Astyanax mexicanus: one gene and its partner. The protein of the gene in region 1 interacts with the protein of each later gene in a biochemical or structural test. Links are inferred from orthologs where the notes say so. Each region holds a gene or a part of one and is shown on either strand. Other genes may lie near its edges. The genes, in order: pax3a and sox10.

Region 1 (9,627 bases):
GATGTGAATGGCGATTTTAGCTTTTAGTATAAGAAGAATTAGAGAAGAAGTCTCCATGGAGATATTTTGCAGATGAAAATGCTTCTCTAAAGCCGCTCTTTTTCTTGAATAATTCATCTCTCATTGACCGTCCATAATGTTTCTCTGTGCGCCTTTTGTTGCCCCGTTTTCTGCCCCCTTTCTCTCGCGCGGAGTCGCTGCAGCGCGAGGCTCTTTTGTGCGTCATGGACTCGCGCGCTTTTGTCTCCCAAGTTCATCCGCGAGTCGCGCGATTGTGAGCCGCTTTTAGCGCGAGCCATTGCTGGACAAATGTTTGGTTAGTGTTTGGTTGAGCGCATTCACGCGCACTCACTCACTCACACACATACACACACAGAAGCTGCAGTGGTAACCTGCAGCATTGGCACTAGCAACCAGTAAGCAGCTCGATCAAGATTTCTTCGAACTTCTATATACAGTGTGTTCAGGCTAGTCACATTGAATTCAGATTAAAATGACCCAGTTATAGACTTTGGAAACACGTGTAAAACGGAGTGCCTCCCCAACCACTTGCACTCTACAGGTGCACATACAATACTAACTAGACAAGAAAAAGCAAAAACAAAATCAACCTGTCAATTACTGCATGTTCATTACTGTAACATCCATTTCTGAAGCTGTTTTAAAAATAATGTGAAAAAAAAAGATAAAGAAAATGTGTTCACGTTTTCTGCAATAATCCGAACACAATTTGAACTCAACTACTTAAAGGCTATCTATTCCACTAAACACCGGTAGTTCATCCATTATACTACTAAAAAAAATAATAATAATATTATTAAATATTAATAATATTAAAATATAAACAGAATCCAGACAGTTGTATTAAAAACACTGGTTGCATTGTCAGATCACACCGCTGTACTTGCAAACACAGTACTACATACAGGTTCTACCCAAAGAAAGTGAGGAACAAAGAAATTCAGTACAACTCACATCTGTCTCCCAAAATGCCATCTATGCTGTGTTTTGCTCTCCTTTCGTTCTCTTCCATTTCCCTCTTTTCGATCTCATCGTCGTCCTCCTCGTCTTCTCCATTCGCGCCAAATTTACAGCGCATTATGCGGCTGATGGAGCTTACTATAGTAGGACAAAATACAGTAATAATACATCCGTTAAACTGAACCTTTCTCTTAAGAAAGAGCGGTAAACTGTTTAAAAATTGCTATTCTGTAACTACCAATTTTGAACAGCTTGCCAATTAATTTAGTTATTTACTTACTTAATTAAAAAAATAACATACTTTCAGTTTTGTTTTTTTACTTAATGTTCTGCATTTTATCTAAATTTTAAATCGGTAATGTTAAGCAGATGCCCACTGGGATGTTTAGCTCTCTCAGCAGGATTTCCCTATAGAAAACCTTTTAGTGTATTATTAAATTTGTGTTAAATTGTGCACGACCTACATACTATATCAAATTGTTTTATTTTTATACCTATAACGTGTAATTTTATATATATATATAATAAAATATATATATATATAATTTTTAAAACTCATAGGAAAGGAAGGAAAATTGTGAACCGGTTAAGAAGCGGGTAAAAAAGAAGTGTGTGTTACCTGAGGGCACAGTGTTTCTGTCACACACTCCATCCTTCAGCAGCTTGTCCCGGATCTCCCAGCTGAACATGCCCGGGTTCTCCCGCTTGTACTCCTCGATCTTTTTGTCCAGGTCGGGACTGGAGTTTTGCTGTAAAAAAAGAAACATCATAAGAAGGAAAAGGTCAGTTTCAGAAACTGGGTGAAAAAAGGTAAAACAGTTCTACACTTTAACTTTCTGCATCTAAATATTCAAAACAAATAAAGAGTATAATAACATAATAACAATAATAATAATAATAATAATAATAATAATAATAATAATAATAATAATACACTGTAGTTATTATTTTATTTTTATAATTTACACATTTTGTATTATTTTTTTATTTCTAAACTAATAAATGAACGGTTGTTTATTTTATATTTTAAAATGTATGTTGTTAAAATAATTTTGTATCGCAATTATTTGTTAAATAAATAAATAACGCAAGCTCTTCCAAAATGATGATTAATTATTGTATTTATTTTTTACTTAAATACTGCCAAAATACTTAAAGTAATAAAAAAAAGTTTAAAATAATTAACGCATAACATGTTACATTTCAATATTATTATAACAGATACATTAATAACACAATAATTCAATAGATAGATAGATAGATAGATAGATAGATAGATAGATAGATAGATAGATAGATAGATAGATAGATAGATAGATAGATAGATAGATAGATAGATAGATAGATAGATTTAGTGTTAATGTTATGACTGTATAACCTAATTTGAGTATTAGATAAAAATACTGGTAGACAGCAAGTTCAGTGTTTCTAAAGAAAACATGGCAGGTTTTTGGTGATATATATTTTTCCACGTCCTCAGGGCTGAGTTAACGAATGCAGTGTTGAATAAACTCTTACAGTGCTGAATGAACTCTCACAGCATTCATTTGTGCCCAGCTGGACTTAAACGGACGCTGCAGGTGTTCATTCAGCACTGGGGGCATTAATTCAGCACTGGGCATTTAGTTGTGCACGTGCATTATTAAACAGTGACTCGCCGTCTTTTAGCACCCTGACCGTTACAGCAGGACAGCGGGCTGAACTTGGAGGACAGGGTATCAGTCCTCCAGAGCTCACACACGGCCTGACTCAACCCTGCGCCGCAGTACCTTGGGCTTGCTGCCCCCGATAGCTCCTGGTCTAATGGATCCGGTCTCCTGGTAGCGGCACAGGATCTTGGAGACGCAGCCGTGAGACACACGCAGCTGGCGAGAGATGACACAGGGCCTGATGCCGTGGTGCGCCATCTCCACGATCTTGTGGCGGATGTGATTGGGCAGTGGGCGCCCGTTGATGAACACGCCGCCGAGTTGGTTTACACGACCCTGTCCTAACGGCGTGGAAACTGTAAGAAAAAAAACATTGTTAGTATACAGATATCTTTAATATAGACTCTCGTAATAATACGTTGTAAACAATGTGCAACAACATGAAAACTAATGAAAAAAGGAATGATAAACAAAATTGCATATGCTGTATTTATTTTGTTTTTAACATCAGTATTAATAGTAGTATCATTAAAGAAATGTAATACTAATAATAATACTACTTCTAATAAAAATAACAGTGCCTTGGCACTTCCTACTTGGACCCCTAATAGCAACGTCATTGCTGACATGCAAAAATCCAAAACATCCAAAATATCACATTTACAGAAGAAGAAAGAAAATAACTTTCAACAGAAGTAAACGTAAAACATATTTAATTTCATATTTAATTCAGATCATTTTCATTGGGTCATTTCCCATGAAATTGTAACACATTGTAAGGAAGAATTGCCAGTTTCAACGTTATAAAAAATGGAAAATGGAGGTACATTTTTTGTGTGACAGCGACGATATGCTTGTAAACTATTGTTGAACGTTTGTCAAACTGTAACCTGTTGCTGGCACCCGTTGTCTTCATTTTACTAAAATATTTTCTAAGTTAAGTTGCAATCATTGCATTATAGGCCTGCATTATTTACTTTATTGTATATGCACTTGCATAAACACATCCTTAAAAGAACAATACATTATTTCAACGAAATCAAACAGTCTGTCAGGACATTACCAGAACTTTTTCGCGGGCATTCAAACGATTATCCTTTAATTCTGACAGTCACAAGACTAAAGGCTTTGGCCCTTAGCGATGAATCTCTATTACACTGTAAACACACAGCAGTCAAACCCCCTCTAACAGCGAGAAGTTACTTTTACTGTGCTAAATAATGTGTGTCCATTTGCACTCGTATAATGGCTGTAGATGTTTAGCGTCAGTGTTCAGCATCTGGTGCTTTGCTGAGGCGTTACTAAAATACCTGTTAGTCTAAATGAAAGGTGTATAGTTTACAGGGTCTGAGGCTTTCAAAACAAGTGGTGCTGCTTCCTCCTACCTTCTAGAGAGTAGCCTCCTCTTGGATAGTTCTGGGGTGGCGTGGGGCGCATCATCCGGGGAATGCCCCCTGCTAAGGCGGCCATAACTCTTGTTTTTCACTCTTCGCACGCTGAAAAAGCGACAAAGAGTGAACTTTATCTAGAAGATGAGTGTGTAAATGCTCCACTTGTGGCTCAGGCTAATGCTGTTTTATCTCTCCAGTTAGCCTGAAGACGTTCCAGAAAGTGTCACTTTCCCTGAAAGTCAACTTCGACGCACACAAAAACATACACACACACACTAGAGACGCAAATCCTCCTCAATGATATGTAAAATAATATCCAAGATAGAAAACTGCTGGAAGAATATCAGAAGTCTGGTCGCTCTTCGCTCTTGTTGACACGTCTGTCGCTGGGTTTGACTCCGCCGCTCAGACCCTAAAACATTTTATCAGTTGTTGAGTTGTAGCGTCCTCCGGCGCGTCGAGCCAGCTGATTGGTCGACAGAAGGAGCCAGAGAAGCGCTCTGATTGGTCCACCGGTAGAAAGTTGCTTGACCTCGAGGGTTCAAGGCGATGTTGCTGTGATTTTGAGTAAACTCTAGCAAGACAAAACGAAAGATTCTGGTTTACTCGTGGAGAAAACCACTCCAGCTTTCTCTTTTTCCTGCTCCGTCTTTCAAAAAGAAATTTACGAAAGTGTCTTGTTTGTGAAATTGGATGAATTTCAATACTAACAGATGATAGTTTCCCCTAACAAAACTCTCCATTTAGCACAACAACATCCAGACGGATACTGAGGGGCGCAAAAAAACAGCAAGTTGTGGTGGTTACGACGGCTGTGGCTCGGTTTTTGTCGTGTTTAGAAAGTGCTTAGCTGCTGAAAGGGGCAGGAGTGGAGGGTCTCAGCAGGGTATGACGCCGAGAGAGCCGTAAAAAGTGTCTGTGAAAAAAAGGATGCGATTGTGAAGAGCCCTTATTTATAACTCTGTGACATTCAGTAGGCCCATACACCTCTCACTCTTTCATGCGTTCTTTGTATCTTGGAATTACTCAGCTTATACTACTCATACAGTCCTCTCTCCCTTTTCTCTCTCTCTCTTTCTGTTCTCCTTTTATATTTCAGTTACTCTGTTTACACATACAACTTTATTTAATTATTTAAGTCTTATTATTTAAGTCTTTCTGCGTATATACTGCATATATCCCGTTTTCCTCATTTTTCTCACTCAGTTTATTGAATTCAGAAAAAAATCACTTCAGTCATTTAATTCATGAGACTCTCTTTTTTCTTTTTGTTACTCCTTAGTCTCTTTCTCTCAATGTCTTTCTCTCACTTTCTCTGTGTCTTTGTATCTTTCAGTTACTCGTCTACTCATACAACTCTCACTCCCTCTCTCGCTTTTTCTTTCCGTTTAGTTCCTCTCTTTTGTAGGAGCTCATTGAGGCCCTCACGTCAGTCAAGTGGTCTCTGTTCATTCAAAGCCCCTCGATCGATCACTAGACTGGAAGAGTGCTATCACACAAAACAATGCTTGGCTTTTTTCTCTACTTAATCACAAAGACTACTGCAGCACGGGATCACTCACACACCCCGCGCCACTGTATACACACTTTTTAGAGTAAAGAATACCTAAGGGGGTGGGTGCACCTGTAAGATCTGTAAATTACAAGTGATTAAAATCTATCTATCTATCTATCTATCTATCTATCTATCTATCTATCTATCTATCTATCTATCTATCTATCTAGTTTCTAGCTAGCTAGCCAGCTAACTTGCAGGCTGGCTATCTATCTATCTATCCTAATGTGACAAATCCGCCGGCTGTCATTCTCGCTATTCCTAGGAGGGTCTCGCGCGGACCGTTAGAGCGGCTCGTGCTCTCCGGGGACCTAAAGGCTAAGCTGCACGGCCCGTTCAGTTCTCTCTCTCTCTTTCTCTTTCTCTCTCTCTCTCTCTCTCTCTCTCTCTCTCTCTCTCTCTCTCTCACGCACATGCACACACAAACACACACACACTTGTAGTGCGCGCGCCGGTCCCAGGTGCTCTATAAACGGATTAGCACTGCTCTACAGCACTTAATACCGCACACTGTAACACACCTCATCATCTCTTCATGCCCGGCCAATGCACCGCTATGGAGACCTAAAACGTGTATCGGAACATATTGATTGTTTAATTAAATGACTGAATACCTAAACAAACAAGTAAATAAATAAGGAAGATTTCAGCAATGCATCATTGGTTAATTTAGGATTTCTGTGAATTACTGAAGTGGAATAATAAGCAACTGAAATATCATATTTTTTAAGTAACGTATGAGCCATGTTAATTAGCGTAATAATAATTTATTTATTGTATTGTTAGCCTCATTATTTTTCTTCTTCTTCTTCTTCTTCTTCTTCTTCTTCTTCTTCTTCTTCTTCTATTAATAATAATTAATATCATTATGACTATTGCTGTTGTTATTACTGTCATCATAACGGTTTTTTTAATGGTATACTCTGCTCCATCAGTTCGCTTTAAATAAATGCGCGGCTCCACCAAAAATCCTCGGAAGGGACGCTGAGAGCAAACGGAACAGCAGCAAAAGATGGAAATGAGGTCTCCATTAAGCGCTCATTCGCTCCATTAACATCTCTGGCTCTTTGTGGACGTGAAAAGAAACTTCAAATGTTGTGTTACCGCAGGGCCGAGGGGACAAAGGCGCACGAGGGGGACGGAGGGAGAGCACACGGGAGGCCATTCACGTGCTAACGGAGGACTTGTTCTTATTCTAACACCAAACTTCACAGGAGATAACTTCAGAGGGGAGCTCGCGATGCTACACTAATTCAATATAAGGTGCATCCGGGACCTTAAGGGGTTCGCCGTTACAATCTTGCGCTTGTCAGTTTGCTTCAGTGATTCAGTGCAAGTAGGCCTGCCTGAAAGTCTATGCGGCCAAATAAGACATTTAGTAATATACCCTTAGTCATTAACACGTTTAAGGTGTGCTTATATTAGTACATTATTAGAGTTAACAGTGACTGATGTCAACGCAAACTAGCACATTTTTCCAACTGAACGAAGAAAACCTTAGAATCAAATGCTCAAAGTATTTTAAGAGAAATGAAAAATACTAAATATACATACATGCAATATACAAAAATACTAAATATACATACTCTGATTAAAGCATTCAGCTACTGTATGTTGCTGAGCACAGTACCATTGCTGGCACAGATGTGCAAATGCACACACAAAGCATGTCTCTCTAGAGCATAAACATGAACCGATTGGCACCATGCCTAATGCCAGGCATGGGCTAGAGGGGTACAAATTCCCCCAGCATTTAGCTATGGAACAGTGGAACTGTTTTCACTGGTGGGTAAATGCCTCATCCAATATTTTTGAGATGAGTTGGTAAGTTTGGGATAAGATGAATAGTCTGAATTCTCTTTTTTGTAAAAAAAAAAAAAAAAATCTACTCAAATAAAATCAAATCCTCACAGCAATGCATCATAATAAAGTACAAAGCCTTTTCTGGACCACAAAGACAGTTTTTCCCAAGAAAAGCCCCAATATTTTGGCAGTATAGTGTAACATTATCTGGTTTTTCAACATATCATCATATTTTGCCACATGGCATATCACCAAGCACACTGTCCTATTTCTAACACACCATCCCATATTATTTAACACACTGTCCAATATTTCCTAGCACACTGTTCCACTGTCCCATTTAACCCAACACACTGCACCATATTACCTAACACAAATTATCTAACACATTTTCCCATATGTAATAAAGTGTCATATTAAACCTAACCTTTCTACATTACCTAACACTGTACAATAACACTGTAAATTACTATATAACGTCCCATAATACCTAACACACTGAGCCACAATATCAGATTACCTAGCACATGGTGCCACATTAATTAACAAACTGTTCCATATTACTTGATGCACTGTTCCATTTTGCCTAACACACTGTCACAAAATGAGTATATGCCTACTAATTCCTAACATACTATCTCACAGTGCCTAACACAGTACCCCATCTGATATCTGATATCCAATAGCATTTTTCTGGATTACATAAAATAGGATTTGTTAAAGGAATAGATAATAGGCCTACAACAACTTTTTAAAACTTAAAATGAGGTCACTGAGATACTGACATTAAGTTTTGAGAACTATCACTAAAATACATTTAGAGAACAATCACTACAATCACTTATAATACCAAATATAATTGCAAATAAACATATTTGGCATCTTAACTTGCAAGAATAAAAAGGATATGGTCAAAAGCAATGGGTATGTGGAATACGCTTTAATTGTGTATAGTATGAAACTGTAAAAGCCATCAAATATGTATATATACATATATAATAACGGTGTACTGCAGGTGTTTGGTGAGTATGTATGTGTGCGCAAATTAGCTTGGATGAGATAAACATGCCGTAATAGCCTAATTTCCTGAACTTTGCTCGAACATGAAACTGGATGTTTGAGAGCAGAATTTCTTGTATATTTACTGCAGCGTTTTAAAAGCCCAATAAACACTGCTTATGATGTTTTGAGGCAGGTCAGATCGGCTGAGGGAGCAGAGCGGGTTTAGCTGTAACTCAACTCCGTCCTAAACTGAGGGGGAAATAGTGCTGGAGAGGCCGTTTGATTGCGCTTAAAGGGACACTGGATATCCATGTCAAATCAATTCTCGAGTGAAAAATCCCAGTCAGAAATTTTCTCCGTCAGTGGGAGAAAAAAAACATCATAAATAAAGAAGCGAATGTCACATTGGAGACGAAGGCAGAAACGCGACGGGTTCACTTGAATCTAAACCAAAATAACCCCTGGGATGCTGGAAAGACTTTATTAAATTCGAGCTTTTTGGGCCTCTGCAGCGTGGACATGCAAAACAGATCAGTGCGGCTCTGGACGCGGCAGATTAGCCAAACAGCAACAGACTGCTGACCTCGGGAAGCTGGCCTTATTTATATTCACATTCAGAGCTGCAGATTTTTAACGTTTAATCGTCTAAAACGCAGTGTAATGCTATGCTATCGTTAGGGGTCCCAGCACTGATGCTGCTGAAGCCCTGTTTGGAACTGGTGAGGCGTATCACACAACTTTCCCCACCAGTCCTCTGACTTCCGCAGCTAGTTATTTCAGGAGACTTTTATATAATCGCCATACCCTTCAGTAATTATTTCCCACACTGTGAAAATCAGTGTTGGTCTAACACTAACGTGACACTAACGTGACGGGATGCTTTCTGGAAAGTTTCCAGTGAACTCTTGCAGGCGATGCCATTATCCCAGCTACAGCTCGCCTGCTGTTTGCTTTTCATGGTAAGTAAATGTTGCCCGCTGATGTTTAGGTTTGTCAGTGTGTCAGGGCAGACAGTCTGTGACACCTAATTTATTTAGCCTATTAATTATTGTTGTTATTGTAGTTATAATCAAAATTAAATCTAAAATCTAAGAAGAAAAATAATCCAAAAACTACATTTTACATTTATTTTATTATTATTATTATTATTATTATTATTATTATTATTATTATTATTATTATTATTATTATACAAGTTATTCGTTATAATTGTATAAAATTCTATAATGCCCAAACAATTAATAAA
Region 2 (9,688 bases), on another chromosome or scaffold:
ATATATCACAATACCATCTATAGTACACCATCTACATTAAAAGATGACATCTATACTACATCAAAATATCTTTACTACATCAAATTGTCTATACTACACGACACCATTTATACTACATTAAATCATCTATACTACATCAAATTATCTATACTACACTACACCATTTATACTACATCAAATTATCTATATCACATCAAATCATCTACACTACACCATCTATACTACATCAAATCATCTATACTACATCAAATCATCTATACTAAACTACACCATCTAGACTAAACTACTCTATTTATACTACATCACATCAACTACACTACACAATCTATACTACATAACATCAACTATACTACACTACACCATCTACACAACACTGTCTACACTACATTACACAATATATACTACACCATCTACATAACACTACACCATATATACTACACCATCTACACTACACTACACCATCTATACTACATCTATACTGCACCATCTATACTACACTACACAATCCACACTACACTACACCATTCACACTACACTACACCATCTACACTACTTTACAACATGGATACTATGCCATCTACACAACAGTACACATTCTACTCTACATTAGACCAACTGTACTTCACATTGCATACTGCATTACATTATTTATACTACATTACAGCATCTATACTACATTAAATATTCTACACTACACCACAATATCTATATTATACTACACCATCTATACTATACTACAGCATCTGTATTATACTACACTATCTATACTATACTATACTACACCATCTATATTATAAACCATCTATTGTGTATTACAAAATGTATTGTAGAGTACACTATCTTTGCAACTCTAATGTGTTTATTTATTGTGCATTTACAGTGTGTTGTTGTTTACTGTTTATTTATTGTATGCTGTTGTTGTTTATTCAGCTGTATTGGACTGTGACCCTGCTCTGTGTCTCGCGCTCCGCTGGGTAATTCTAGAATTATGTGCCCCTAATTCCTGCATGCCAGCTACCAAATCTGCACCCCCCACCACCCTCCACCCCACCCCAGTGCGCACACACACACACACACACACACACCCACACCCACACTCAACCTCAACACGCATACACAACTTAAACACAAGCATCATACCAGAACACCATGCCAAACCTGAACACACATTCACACATAACCTGAACACACATAACCTGAACACACCAAACGTTAACCTGAACAAACAATTAACCAAACCGAAACACAAAGACACACACACACAACCTGAACACACAAAAATTCGGAACATACATTAAACCTCAACACACACAACCCGAACATGCATGCTTAAACTCTCACAGCCTGAACACACAACATATCTGAACACACACAACCTGAACACATTGAACCTGAACACATAACAAATCTGAACACACACAACATGAGCATACATCCACACACAATCTGAACACACATAACCTGAACACACACCAAACGTTAACCTGAACAAACAATTAACCAAACCGAAACACAAAGACACACACGCACAACCTGAACACAAACCAATTCTGAACATACATTAAACCTGAAAACACACAACCTGAACACACACAACTCGAACATGCATGTTTGAACTCTCACAGCCTGAACACAGAACACATCTGAACACACACAACCTGAACACATTGAACCTGAACACATAACAAATCTGAACACACTCCCAAACTGAACACACACAACCTGAGCACACAAAAACCTGAGTTCACATCAGAAAACACTCAACCTGAACACACCTAACCTGAACACACAAAAACTGAACACTTATCAGAAAACACTCAACCGGAACACACACTTAACCAAACCTGAACACAAAAACACACAAAACCTCAACAAACACAAACATCTAAACATTCATTAAACTTGAACACACACACAACCTGAACGCACATGCTTGAACACTCACAGCCTGAACACACAACACATCAGAACACAATGAACCTGAACACACACAACCTGAACACACATTCACACACAACCTAAACTCACATTTACACACAACCTGAACACACACACAACCCAAACATGCACCACATGTCAACCAACAAACACAAACACTTGAACACAAACAAACACACAACTTCAACACACACCAAGTCTGAACATTCATCAAACCTGAACACACACACAAACAACCTGAACCCACAAGCTTGAACACTCACAGCCTGAACACACAACACATCTGAACACACACGACCTAAAAACACATACAACCTGATCACACAACAAACCTGAACCCACAGCAAACCTGAACACACACAACCTATACACACAACACATCGGAACACAATGAACCTGAGCACACACACAACCTGAACACACACAACCTGAACATGCACCACATGTCAACCTGAACAAAACATCCCTACATTTATCAAACCTGAACACACACATAATCTGAACACACACAACTTGAACACACACACAACCTGAACACACACCAACCCTGAACACAAACACCGCTCGAACATACACCCAAACTGAACACACACCCAACCTGAACACACATATTACCTAAATAAACACAACATGGACACTGTCTAAATATAACTTGAACAAACATCAAACCCAAACACACTAAATCTGAACACACGCACAACCGGAACAGACAAACACGTACCAAACTACAATTCACACAACTGGAACACACAAAAACAGAACAGACACGCTAAATCCAAAAGCACACAAACAGCCAGAGAATTCACTAAATCTGAACATACACCAAACTAAACATACACACAACATGAACCCACAGACAACACACCAGAAACATACAAAACATATACACTCAAATTAAACACAGAAAAATATGCAACCAACCTAAACACACAACATTCACAAACACTTAAAAAAAAATAAAACTATGAACACACACAGATTCAAACACACCCCAGAAGTGCTCAAGTTCTCATTTTGAGTGTGTAAGCGGAGCTTCGCAGTGATCTGTCTCAGATATAATTCTCTCACTGCTCTGTTCTGTCTAAAACAAACCACTTATGTTTAAATACAAACAAAAAAACTGAAAACATTATAATTAAATGGTTTCATTAGTTCATTAATAAATTTTGTCAAAAGGATAGTAATTGAAATAATACATTTTGTTAAATGTTGCTACCAAATTAAGTATAACTCAATATAATAGAAAAAATAAAAATAAATAAACTAGAAAAAATAAAAATAAATAAATAAATGAATAAATGATGGTTTAAAATTGTATTTAGTCTCTTTATAAATCTGTTTTTAATGTCTATAAATCCGTTTAATCATCAATAAACCGTTTTTTATGTTATTATTATTATTATTATTATTATTATTATTATTATTATTATTATTATTATTATTATTATATGAATGCCTATATTATATATAATTTTGTAAAAAAAAATCCGATTCTGAATTATACTATATCAAAACGTATCCTATTACTTTTATATTAATTTTTATTCTTAAATATATTCATATTGGCTCCTCATACTGTGCGCGCTTGATTCGTAATAGCATTAAATAATAATATTAATAATAATAATAATAATAATAATAATAATAATAATAATAACAACAATAATCATAATAATAATAATAGATTAGCATTTAGGTTATTATCGCGAACTCTCTTTCTCCTCTGATTAAATCTAAATTATTAAAACTAAATTAATAATAATAAAGTTAAATAATGTGCTTACCCCGCTCTCTCTCTCTCTCTCTCTCTCTTACTCTCTCTCTCTCCCTCGCTCGCTCGCTCGCGCTCCCTCCGCTGCGCGTGTCCGTGTGCTGCTGTATGAATGCGCTCTCTGTGCTGCGCGCGGGACTTAAAGAGCGCCGTTGTGCGCGAGAGAAAAAAACAAAACAAAAAACGACCCGAGAAAAAAATAGTTCAGACCCTTAAAGCTGCAGCAGCTCTCCGCTGATAGGCTGCGGGGAAGAGCGCCCCTCGCGCTGCTAGAGCCTCGGAGATTGGCTGTCTGTTCGGAGGGGCAGGGCTTCGACAGCTAATCGGCAGCGCAGAAAGAGGCTTCGTTAATTTATGCATTTAATTATTTGAATTTTATTACATTTCTTTTCATTTGTTATTGCAACTTAATAACATTTATTATCACTTTATAGAGCTATTTTTATAAGGAATAAAAAACATTAACATTAAATATAGAGACATATTTTATTAAAAACTTCCACACAACCACAGAACCAAAACAACAATGCTACTGTGGAATTTCAGCACACACTTATTGACTGTTTGTTTGGTCGTGTGCATCTTTAAGAATTGTTTGAGGCAAAATATATTATTTTTAACAATGACGTGTCGTAATTATTTAAAGTGTAAACTGGATCTTATTCATAAATCACATAAACGGTGTGGCTGTGTGTATATGTGTAAATGTGTGTGTGTGTGTGTGTGTGTGTGTGTGTGTGTGTGTGTGTGTGTGTGTGTGTGCATAGATGACCGTTCTTCACGTGGTCGGGTTTTGCGTTTGAACGTCTGAATGTTTCCGCGCGGCTTCTTTCATCTGTCCCGCGCGCTCTAAATCGCTCTCCCGCGGGGTCACAGAGGGGCAGATACCCACGGGCTCTGTTACCCACACAGGAGCAGCCGAGTCCCGAGCCAGCACCTGCTGCGAACGGTTAAATTATAGCTATTAAAGCGCCATTACTATTATTATTATTATTAGTAGTATTAGTATTATGATTATTATTATTAGTAGTAGTAGTAGTAGTAGTAGCAGTCAATTCCATTTAACTCAAATCAATGAAACAAAGCAAAACAAGTTGTTACACGCTGTAATTATGTAAAATAATATATTTTAACGTGCAAATGTCCATGACTCGTGTTATGTGTTCTTTACAAAGACTAAATGTCTATGTGCCTGTTTGTCTTTATCAATGCCATTAAAAAATTTGAAAACGTGAGAGACAGAGAGAGAAATTAATGTGTGGTCGACTTTTATTCGTTTGAAGTCCTGATAGCCAAGAACGCTGAATTAATGTGTTTTTTTATTATTAATGAAAAAAAAACAACCTTTAAACGACCTTTAATTGTTAAGTGTTGAAAGTGTTGAAATCCGACATTAAATCAAAGTTCATTTAAAATGCTTTGAATGTTTGGGACGCTTTAAAATAACAATGATTTTAGGTGGAAACTGCTCTCCACAATGAATTAATATTCGAATTTAAATATTTATTTTTACACTGCAATGACAGTACAACTTATACGAACGTTGAATCGTAAAAGTGTAAAATCGATGGACACAAATGAACCAACCCTGATCCACGTTGTTTCAATGCATTAGGTGTAGAAATATGAATAATATGTATAAATTGATTCAACGTAATTTTGATATCTGGGAGATGACGTTTACACCAACCTCTCACGTACTAGATGCTGCTGCACGTTGTAGAAGAGTTTTACAATTATCTTTGAAATCTAAGTTCGTTCATTCTGTTTCATTTGGAATTCGTTTTTGGGTTTTTTAAACGATTAAAACAGTTTGGGATTCTCCAATATTCGTGTATGGATTTTTTTTTTGCCGTGCGCGCGCACAGGCAGGGCTCCCAGTGCCACACAATCGCCATCAACACCACTTTTGATGCGGGTGTTTTCCCTCTTGTAAAAGCAAAAACAGAAACTAAAAAAAGTAAAAAAAAAAACATTCTGAAAAGTGTGAACGGATTTGAAGTTATTTAAAGTATTTGTACGATTTTTACGATGTATATTACGATTTTTTTCAACTGCGATTGTATTAGTGGGCCTACAAGCTTTAGATTTTACATGTAACGTTTGTTTTTATTATGAATACGATTTTTGTACCATTTGCACGAACGAAAATTGTTGTGCGCGGATGGAATTATTTTACAATAGTTTAAATTATTCTGAACAGTGTATAAATCTACATCCTTTTCTTTTGAAATTCTTGTCGCGTGCGCGCGCACGCAGTTCCTGCAGCGCACCACCGTCGCCGCTACTGCGGCTGTCGTTCGGCCACTGTTGAACGGTGGGCATCCATCGCGCGCCTGTAAGGTTGGTGTGTGGCGTAACCGCGTACATCAGGGTTTATCGATGAGGCAGAGCGCGCGATGGATGTGTAGAAGCAGCAGAACAACCTACAGAATGGAGAGAGAGAGTCTATAGTGAAAGGAGAGATGGAGATGGTGGTGGGGGGGCTCACGCGCACACAAACGCGCACGCTGTTCTGCTTAACAATAAGGCCCTGTGTTTGTGTGTCTCGCGCTCCCCACACCCCACCCCTCCTCCACCTCCAAAAAATCACTGACTTTTTCATCAGGCATGAATGTGGAGTGTGATAAGGAGATGCACGAGAGCATCTCTCTCCCTCTCTCTCTCTCTCCCTCTCTGTGCGTCCTTTGTTTTATCTCAGGTGAATTGTAATCATGTGATCAAACGCGCGCGCCCCCCCTCTTTAAATGAAGAAATGAGAACAGAAAGCAGTTCTGTGTTTATAAAGAAAAAAAAGAGAAAGAAAAGAGAAAAGACTCTCTCTCTCTATTCGGCGCGCGCGTGTGTGTGTATGTGATGGTCCTTTCTTCCTCGTGTCCTTCCAAACGCACATTTGCAGTAAAATGCAGCTACCGCCGATGCTAGCGCACCTTTCCTGGCCTGTTGGCGCGCGCGGACTCATCCCAGGATCTGCGGCCTCGCGCACCTCTCAGTGAGTGTGGAAGTGTGTGTGAGTGTGTGTACGAAAATGTTTTCTATTATGGGTTCTCATGATCCAAGGTAAGAGCTCAGTTGAGAGCTCGCGCACAGACAGAATAAGATGGGAGAGTGTAAGCGCCCGCGCGTGCGTGCGTTTATACTGGTATTGTGTTTGTGCGGCTGTTCAGGTGAGCTCAGGCGCTGTGGTGAAAATCAGCGTGCGCAGGGAAGCTGTGCATGTGTGTGTGCGTGTGCTCGTGCCTGAGTGTGGGTTGGGGGGCGTGTTGAACTTGAGTAAAAATTGTTAAATGTATAAATATGTGTTATACATTATATATGTTATTAAGTGTGTTATTTATTATAATTTATGCAGTGCGAAGCTCATGAATATTTAAATGACGTGACAATGTCAGGCAAAGGTGTCAATGTCAGGGTCGGCGCATTGGTCATTACTGAGGTTTAATACTCATGCCCTAATTCTGATTGGTTGAAAAATCGTTAATATTATAAAAAAATACCTACTTAATTTTTTTGGTAAATGTCTGTTTGTTTATTTGCTAATAGTCCGCGCGAACGTACGCAGTGTCACTTCCACAGTTCTAACTAGCAGCAATTGGTTAATTACAGCTAATATGATCAATTAATTACAGTCAATGTAATTACAGTTACTCACAGATAATATAATCATTTAATTACTGCATATGTAATTAATTAATTGCTTTGGAAAAAAAACTTCGGGAAAACTGTAGTAACTGGCCTTTTATAGCGGAAATTAGTGAATCGCGTGAGAGATAAGAATTTATAGCAATTAGAGTATTAATTCGTTAAAAGTAAAGTATTACAGCGCGCGGTTATTAAAGGCGCAACGAAAACAATTAAATTAAACATCTAACGGTAAACAGATATAGAACGGTTCATGGTACAATAATAATTAATATTAAACATTTTTATTAATAAATTAAGGCTCAAATAAATCATTTTTAATTAACTTTAAAAATTAGAAACAATACTGATAATAATAACAACAACGATAGTAATAAGAAGAAGACAAACAATACGAGCTTTAATATATTTTTATTGATATGTTTAGTATTACATTTCTAAACAACTGTAAATTGTAATAATAATAACAATAATAATTGTTATTATTGTTATTATTATTGTTATTATTATTAGTAGTAGTAGCAGAAACCAAAACTATAAAAATATTCATAATAATAATAAAAAATAATAATAATAATAAAAGGAAGAAGAAGATAATGATAACGATGAAGAGTAAAGAAGAAGAACGTAATATTATTTTAGTATATGATTCACGTATGTATAACAATTCTTACACATATTATATGAATAATAAAAAAATATTGATTAAATGATCAAATAATAGGACGACGAATTATTTTAATACTGATGCTATAAAAGAAAAATAATCTGTTTTATATGGCGCGTAATATTCATATATATATATATATATATATATATATATATATATATATATATATATATATATATATATATATATATTTTAAACGCGCAATATAAAACAGATTTTTCACATATATAGTTGTGAGAGATGTACATGCGCAGTGTGTGTGTGTGTTAAGGGTAATGGCGATTATTCAAATAAACAAGGACAACAGCGAGAGCACGCGCTGTGTGTGTGTGTTGTGCATTAGTCTGCAGGAAGGGAAGTGTGATTTTCTGCTGATGCTGATAGTGATGATGGTGATGACAATAATCTATTCATAATCGGAGCTGAAACTGATGATCTGCGTTTTTCGCATCCAGTATGAATTGCTATAAAAATTATATTACTCCTCTATTATTCATCAGTAATTTTTAAGGTCTGGTGTTTAAAACCAGAGAAAAACCGAACCACCAAAAATAATCCTGATTCTGTTAAATGTTGAACATCTCCAAGTAGCAGTTTTATCTCAATGCTTTACAAACTTATATAATTTGAACGTTATAGCCTGACACTGTTTAAAGTGTGTGTGCGCGGTGTGTGTGTGTGTACCACTGCTGTGCTGTCAGCAACATGTGACTGTGGTGATGCTGCCGGTTGCCGTGGGAGACATTTGTCAGGGTGAATGTTGTTAGGAAGAGACCCTCGTGCTCACGAGGGTCAAAAGGTCAAGCTCAACCCAGAACCATGTGGATCTCATGACAGGGTGCTCTCTCTAAGGTACAGTTATCACAAATACACACACACACACACACACACACACATTTGTATACACACTTCCCTGTAGTGAGAGAGATAAAAACAGAGACACACAGAGACAGAGAGAGAGAAAGAGAGAGAGATCTTTGGGGTGTTTATCATTTTTTCCTGAGAACGAAAGGTTGCCCTTTTGTCCGTCCATAAATGGTGGAGAAAATTCCTTGGGGAATTCCTGAATTCAGATGAGGAGTAAGTGCGCCTGGGTGAGAGAGAAAAGGTCAGAAATGAGAAGTGCATGTAGATGAGGGTGATTTCATCTCTGCTCATAAACGTCAGATGGAGCAGACATCAACCAAGCAGATCCAGAACATAGAACTGAAGCCAAACAGGTGCAATCTCATGTAGTGTTGAGAAATCTTAACCAATCTAGTGTTGAGATTCCGAACAGACCCAGAACTACTAAGGTACTGAGTAGCTTAGAACTAAATATAATCAGACTACACTTCTAAAGAACTTCCTGATAGATCTAATTCTATTGAGGTACTTAAAACTGAATCCCAACATTTTCAGAACAACTGTAGTACTGAAAAATGACAGATTTCAAACAGATTTAGAAATACTGAGTGACTCAAAACTGAATCCAATAGACCCAGAACCACCAGAAGTAATGAGGAACTTAGAATTTAATTCAAACAGATCTAGAACTACCAAACTACTGAATATCTAAGAAAAGGACCCAAATAGACACAGAACTACTGAGGTACGAAATAGCTTTAAAGAAAATTTAAACAGACCCAGAACCACTAAAATACTGAGGGACTTTGAATTGAATCCAA

Evidence for each region.
Region 2: the proteins of pax3a (region 1) and sox10 form a complex in vitro, tested with the Homo sapiens proteins (2 studies listed by BioGRID and IntAct). The link is inferred for Astyanax mexicanus from reciprocal best matches to the Homo sapiens genes PAX3 and SOX10.

Annotation. Positions count from the first base shown.
Region 1 is NC_064411.1:45,136,020-45,145,646, forward strand, and holds the start of pax3a (paired box protein Pax-3a), read right to left. Parts: upstream 4,457-9,627; 5' UTR 4,101-4,456; coding exon 4,016-4,100; intron 2,987-4,015; coding exon 2,751-2,986; intron 1,731-2,750; coding exon 1,601-1,730; intron 1,120-1,600; coding exon 976-1,119; intron 1-975. UniProt on the Homo sapiens protein: Transcription factor that may regulate cell proliferation, migration and apoptosis. Involved in neural development and myogenesis. Transcriptional activator of MITF, acting synergistically with SOX10.
Region 2 is NC_064410.1:9,706,186-9,715,873, reverse strand, and holds the start of sox10 (transcription factor SOX-10), read right to left. Parts: upstream 3,876-9,688; 5' UTR 3,723-3,875; intron 1-3,722. UniProt on the Homo sapiens protein: Transcription factor that plays a central role in developing and mature glia.